2 linked regions of the Arabidopsis thaliana genome follow. The protein of the gene in region 1 interacts with the protein of each later gene in a pairwise test. Each region holds a gene or a part of one and is shown on either strand. Other genes may lie near its edges.

The links. The genes of interacting proteins can lie anywhere in the genome.
Region 2: the proteins of AT1G29960 (region 1) and AGL77 interact in a two-hybrid assay, tested with the Arabidopsis thaliana proteins (one large-scale study listed by BioGRID).

The regions. Positions count from the first base shown.
Region 1 is NC_003070.9:10,492,646-10,496,401, forward strand, and holds AT1G29960 (Peptidase S24/S26A/S26B/S26C family protein), read left to right. Parts: upstream 1-1,981; 5' UTR 1,982-2,167; coding exon 2,168-2,293; intron 2,294-2,368; exon of another isoform or gene 2,369-2,381; coding exon 2,382-2,606; intron 2,607-2,919; coding exon 2,920-3,030; intron 3,031-3,158; coding exon 3,159-3,206; 3' UTR 3,207-3,560; downstream 3,561-3,756. Other genes in the region: AT1G29950 (basic helix-loop-helix (bHLH) DNA-binding superfamily protein), read left to right, coding at 816-1,571.
Region 2 is NC_003076.8:15,512,667-15,516,422, reverse strand, and holds AGL77 (AGAMOUS-like 77), read left to right. Parts: upstream 1-2,117; coding exon 2,118-3,398; 3' UTR 3,399-3,480; downstream 3,481-3,756. Other genes in the region: AT5G38730 (Tetratricopeptide repeat (TPR)-like superfamily protein), read right to left, coding at 3,732-3,756.

The DNA of each region.
Region 1 (3,756 bases):
GGAAGCAAATTTTGTTGTTGCCACCTTATATACAGCTTCTTGTGTTAAAACTATTGGCATCTCTTCCTTGTTTTGCAGGTGTTGTTTCCGGAATTCGGAATAGTTCTTTGTTGTTGTGCTTATTATACTGGTTAGTTTGTGAGAATGTGCATTGTTGGAAACAAGAAGGGAAACCGATCATTGAAGGAAATAGGAACTTTTATGATGACTACATGTTTCATTGCTAATTACCAATCCGTTCAAGTTTGCCAGGTACATGCCTCTCTTTGATTTAGTATTTCCTAACACTTCTATCGCTTAGGCAACACTGATTTATGTCATTAAAAGAACTCTATCCTCTTGATGACATGTGGATAGCTATTTGTTAGAGTATTAACCATAGTTTTTCTGATATTCAACCTTTCTTATAAATCATTGCAGGCTGAATATTTCAGACAGTTGCTTAAGCCTGTAACGTAGTCTAGCGTCTGGAGTTTTCGGAAATTGGGGTTTTGAGCGGCTATCTACTTTTGATTTCGAAAAAATTTACTGTGAGTTGTTAAAGAGTCTGGTATTCTGAAGAGCTGTCTGTGGGGGAGCTTCTGGTTTGGGGGGTAAGGGCTCTGGTGGAAACTCGTGATATCTTTAGTATGATGGCCATAACTTGATATAGCATTTGGTTCCGTGTGTCAACTTAGTGTAGTAGTAACTGAGCAGCTGGAAGCTTACAAAGGCGACAAATCGGTAGTAGAAAATATTCAAGCAGCTTGCAGTTTGAGGTGTACAACTTGTTTTTCTCTTTGCGTTTCCTTTTTTACGTTTGCACGGGTTTTCTGATGCAGAACAATCAGTTTCCTCACTTCTCAGATGAAGTGGGTGACAGAAATATGCACAACCCGTATGCATCAGGGTCATCCTATGATGCTTTGTTCCCACCATGTGCAAAGTTGCCATACCATGGTGTTGAACTTCAACCGTCTGCGGTCTGTCCAAAGAACTTTGTCATCTTCGATCAAACATATGACCGCAGCCAAGTGATGTACCATCCTGAGCTGACTCATAAGCTCATGAATACCCCTTCGTTGAACAATTTAGCTTCGACGTTTCAGAACGAGTATGTTGGGGGAAGTTATGGTAACTATGGTAACTATGAGCAAGAAGTATCCTCTTCTTATCAAGAAGATCCAAATGAGATCGATGCTCTCTTGAGCGCAGATGAAGATTATGAAGAGAATGATGATAATGAAGGTGAAGAGGATGGTGGTGATTCAGAAGAAGTCAGCACTGCTCGTACTTCTTCCAGGGATTATGGAAACACCACAGCAGAATCTTGTTGTTCCAGTTATGGTTACAACAACAACAACAACAACAACTCAAGGAAGCAGAGTTTATCGGGCAGTGCTAGTAGTAGTAACAATGATGGGAAAGGACGTAAAAAGATGAAGAAGATGATGGGAGTATTGAGGAGAATTGTCCCTGGAGGAGAACAGATGAATACAGCTTGCGTTCTTGATGAAGCTGTTCAGTATCTCAAGTCACTTAAAATCGAAGCTCAGAAACTTGGCGTTGGACATTTCTCAAACCAATCTTGAATGCTACCGATATTCGGTTCTTCCATCACTATTGTTTCTCGGGAGGTAAATCATCGGTCTAGCGCTATCTGGACCTTTCTCTTTATTTTCCTCCCTCTATACTCACTTCCTTTTGTTGGCAGGATGGTATCTATTTTATGTTTGAATCTCTCTATGTATTTTGCTTTTTGTGTGTTACTGCTTCGATGAAGAAGCAAGGTTTGAACAAGTACTTGTGGATTTGATTTGAGATTTTAATTTGTATGGTTTTACTTTCACTGTAATCATTTGACTATGAACTACAATTATCATTATGTATTTGCTTCTACATAGTTTTAAACATTTGGTCTTCCTTCTACTGAACAATGTAAGGGCCATCATTTTGAAAAGTCACGCTTATACCATAAAACGGGTCCTATACGTAACCAAAATTCAATTTCTGATGGAAATTAACTGGGTTATTAAATAACCGGGTTTATAAATTGGGTTATGATTACATTTTATTTTACACAGTATAGCTCAACGATTCGTCTCAAAGCTTCACACTTTCGTGAAATCTGCAGACTTTGTGTAGTTCTCAAATCTCGATTCGTTGGATTCAGTTGAAGAAATAGGCAATGGCGACTCCGTCGTCGTCTTTCTGGAACACAGCTTCACGAGAAGCCATGAAAAGCGGCGTGTTACTCGCGAAACTCTACTGCTTTCTTCATGTAACAACAAACTATCTCGGATTCATGGCTTATGTGAGTCAATCGAAATCTCTCTTCTTTTTTGGTGTAAATCGAATTCGTTATTGAAAATTTACCATAAAGATGTAGTCTTTTTGAGCAGGCTTATGGTCCGAGCATGACTCCGACGCTTCATCCTTCGGGAAATGTGTTATTAGCGGAGAGAATCTCGAAGCGGTATCAGAAACCGAGTCGTGGAGATATAGTTGTGATACGATCTCCAGAAAACCCTAATAAGACTCCAATTAAAAGAGTTATTGGTATTGAAGGTGATTGTATAAGCTTTGTGATTGATTCAAGGAAGAGTGATGAATCTCAAACCATTGTGGTATGTTTTGTTACTTAACCTTCTTCCTTGTTGACTTCACTTCACTTTGGTTTTGCTTATGGATGAGATTTTTGAATGTTGTACTTAGAGAACTGAGTTTGAAGAAGGTAGATACATTGTTGAGAAATTGAGTGATCAGAGTTGAAACAAGTTGTTAATTAGTATTGAGCTCGATTTAGCTGATTGCAATTCATGGAAAATTTTGAATCTTTTAGCAACGTTAGTGTTATTGGTGTATATTACAATTTCCTTTGGATTGTTTAGTTTGTTGGATTAATGGCGAATTGATCTTTCGATGTTTTTTTGGTTTTAGGTTCCTAAAGGACATGTCTTTGTTCAAGGTGACTATACTCATAACTCACGAGACTCAAGAAACTTTGGTACTGTACCTTACGGTCTTATTCAAGGCAGAGTGCTTTGGAGGGTATAAACTTTTTGTCATTAACTTACAAATATAGTTAGATTATCTGATTTCGGAACTTCAAATGTGTTATTTGCATTTGTTTTGGTAAATCTATTTGGCTAATCTTCGGTATGTATAATAATGTGTAGGTTTGGCCATTTCAAGATTTTGGACCGCTTGGACCAACCCCAACTTAGCATACGAGTTAGCTTGGTCATTAGGCCAATGAGATGACCGAGGCAGATTGGTAGTATGGTTAATCGTTGTTGCCGAGTGAGTCTGGCTCATGACTGACTATGAGATGCAGGATCATCATACCATTCACGAAGATGGGAGAATCTAAACGCTCAGGAAAAGTGAGTATATGGTTTAGACTTGAGAGCACGTAACATTATGTATTTTTGGTCTGACGCTGTATGTGAGAGTCGCCTCTGTATCAAAAAGTTAAAACAAACATCGAATGTTTTGTGTGAAGCCAAGATTATTCATGGGAAAATCTTATAACCATTTAAAAATACTACTTGATCAATAGCATTTCCCCACATTTTAAAGATTGCTCTATTTTCACTTAAATCAATCATGGTGATACCAATTGGTGGTAACGTCAAGTTTGTCAAGCCAAACTGTAGGGATTTTCTTAATTGTGTGTCAAATAATTTTTAAAACAATCATTGTGATTTATTTTCTGTTTTCCCACATATTTGATAGTTATTTAAAATCGTAGTTTCGACTATCACAATTTTTACC
Region 2 (3,756 bases), on another chromosome or scaffold:
ATGTATGCATGTATGTATGAATGCATGGATGCATGAATGCAAGCATGTATGAATGCATGGCGTGTATGTATGAATGCATGAATGTATGAATGCATGGCGTGTATGTATGAATGCATGGATGCATGAATGCATGGATGCATGAATGCAAGCATGTATGAATGCATGAATGTATGAATGCATGAATGTATTAATGCATGGCGTGTATGTATATATGAATGTATGAATGCATGGCGTGTATGTATGTATGAATGTATGAATGCCGGCGTGTATACGAATAAGTGCCTGTAAGTATACACATTCTTCAATTGATTTGCGAATCCAGAATTCTCTGTTTTCTGAGTTCTAAGAAACGCCACATTCTAGGCTCTGGACTTTGCACCTGAAGAAGAAACGTGACTTAACATCATATTCAAAGACCAATATCAAAAGATCAAGGAGGAGAAAAAGATTGAATAGATCAAATATTTGAACAAAACCAAAGGCACTTTGTGTTTGTTAACATAACTAAGATTAGAGCCGCTTCCTTGGTTAACTATGATGAACCATCATCTTCTTCTTGTTCTCAGGCAAAACGATCTGTAAAAAATAGAAAAGTAAACCAAAAGAATCAGACCAAGAACCAAACCGGAAACACAGTGATGCAGAACAAAATCTATACCAGATACAGAGCATCACAACACCACTTGATCTTTGATTCCCATTCACAAAATCTAAACCTAATACAGATATCCCAATCTCGCGATCGTTTACAAAACCAAATCAAACGAATCACAAAACTATCGTAGATGGTATTGAGGAGGAAATAACAAAATTGATCGAGACAAATCAAACCCCAAAAGATTAACACACCGATGGAACAAATTAAGTAACATAAACAAAGAACGAGAGGTGTTGTAACAGTAATCGAATCAACTAATCAAGTAACAGAGAAACACAATTCATAAACAGATCATCGGAATTGAGAATTCATAATCATCGGAATTGCCTCAAAGAAACCCTAAATTCGAGAGTTTGATAACTAACCAGATAATCGATATACCTAGACGAAGTGAGAGATCGTCATTTCTGGATCATGATCGTCGCCGACAATTCGTCGGTGAACCAAGCAAGATCGCCGGAGAAAAAAAAACTTCTCCAGACATTTTGCAAAAAAAATTAAAATTTAGGGATTTCTAAAAAGTGAGAGATATCATAGAGAGATTTGTAGAGGTTTTTCTTCTTCTTCAAACGGTCTAACTCCAATTTTTTCCGCTATATAGAAAAATTCAAAATTTGAAAAATCAAGATTCCAAGACTAAGACATGTTTCGAAAAAAAGAAATTGAAATTCCAGCTGTGACACGTCATGATTATCATGTGCAACAAGTTTGAGCTTAACCGGGATTTTAACATTTTGGTTTAGTGTGAAGGCCTGAATGTTTTTGGTTAAAGCCTAACCACTGTGATCTCATGAACATATTTAGATTCGTTTGGTTTTGGTTTTAAAATGTGACATTAATTCTAAGTCCAACCCAATTAGATCGAAGCAATTATATGTTATCTTCCCAACCCAAACTACGTATTTTCAACTATACAATGAAAATTAAAAGTGACCAAATTAGGCGACACAGAAACGAACAGGTCCAATATATAATAGTTTGGGCCGCTGTAAAAATATACACGTTTGGGCCAAGCCTAGTAAAAAAAAACAAAAATTTGGCCTCTTAACTACCGATTCCAAAATTGAAATGTAGCGTTTTGATTATTCTTCTTTAAATTGTCAGGTTCTACGAAAACCCTAACCAGAGAAGCTTGCCAGCGGCTGAAGAGTTCCGACGAAAGCAGAGGAAGAAAAATATATCGGTTAACCGACCGAACCGAAACACTGGGTAACCAAACATAATTTACAAACCTTCCGATCGGTTTTCCTTTCCTAACCGAAGCAAAGCCCGGAACCAAAAATTTCGGTTCGGAGCGGTTCGGAATTATCGGTTCGAGTTTGTCTCGCAGGCCTACAAAAAAAACTCTATAAATATATGACATATCTAAGGGTTTCCTTAACCTAATTCATTAGCTTTTTCTCTTCACTCTGAACGTGAAAACAAACACAGAGAGTTTGTCTTCAAAATCAACAAGAAGATGACGACCATTCGATCTTCACCTTCTTCCTCTCGTTGTTCCAATTCGTCTTCCTCTTCTTCTTATTCACTCGCTTCCACAAGTTTGTCTAACAGACTTGAGACTATATTCAAGAAAGCTTCAGAGCTTTGCACTCTCTGTGATATCGAAGCCTGCGTCATCTATTACGGACCAGACGGAGAACTTAAAACATGGCCTAAGGAGCGAGAGAAAGTGCGAGACATTGCTCTGAGGTTTAATCAATTAAACGAAGCCTTGAGACACAAGAAAAGCGTTAATCTTCATGGGTTCCTGAACAAGAAGAAGAAGAACAAGGGTTTGAAGAATCCGAACAAGAAGAAGAAGACGAGTCTTAAGAACGTGAATGTTTTAAAGTATCCACTCGCTGATCATTACTCTCCCGACCAAGTTTCTCAATTGACTCAGTCCTTAGAACTCAATGTCTCTAAATTCCAAGAAAGGCTTCGATTTCTTGAGTCGCAGAAACAGAATGAGACAAAACCGGATCATCAGAGTTTAACATCAATATCTTCTCTGAACCAATCTTTGAACCCTAGCCAGTTCTCGCTGTTTATGTATAACCATGGATATAATACTCTGTCTCAGATCCCAGTCTCTGCATCAAATTTCAATCAGGATTATATCTCAGCGTTACTTGAACAATCTGAGTTGAAGAGTCAGATAATGAAGCAGGAGGTTTGTGGTTATGAGCAGAACATGTGCATGAGTAACCATGGAGATGCTACGCTCTCTCAAATCCCATTCTCTGCATCAAATTTCAATCAAGATTTTTCAGCCAACAACAACTTCCAACATTCTTTTGTCTCAAACACACAAGATTACTACTCTGTTCAAAAATCTGTGAATAACAACTATGGGTTGAAGAATCAGTTAATGAAGCACGATCTTTGTGGTTATGAGCACAACATGTGCATGAGTAACCATGGAGATGCTACCTTCTCTCAAATCCCACTCTCTGCATCAAATTTCAATCAAGATTTTTCAGTCTCAATACAAGAAGAATCTGGCTTGATGCAGCAGGAGCTTTGTGGTTATGATCAGAATCAGAACATGAGCATGGGTGACATCACAAACAACAATTTTCAAGTTACTTGCGCCTCAGTACTAGAATCTGTGAACAACTTTGGGTTGAATCAGTTGATGCACAAGGAGTTTTATGGTTGTCATCAAAACATGTCTATGGGTAACATCAATAACAACAGCTTTCAACATCCTTGGGTCTCAAACGCAGACCATACTCGGCGGTACAAGAATCTGTGAACAACTTTGGGTTGAATCAGTTAATGCATGCAGCATGAACTTTACGGTTACGGTTATGCAGACTTTTGTTAATTTCTTATGATTAATTTGATGTGTTGTTGTTGTTGTTGAAATGTATTCAGATCTACAGCTTGTTTACGGTTATTAGTTGGATAGTATTTAGCAGTACATGCACTTTCACTTTCCATAAAGGTCATTATTGTATCATGATTGATGCAGAGGATATCTACACCAGTATTCTTTCACTCTATAGTAGCTAGAAACAACAAGTACTACGTAGCTTATTAGTGTCTTTTAAAGTACATATATATAAATGTGATATGTTGGCTCACTTCACAATACCTCGCTTCTGTTCATT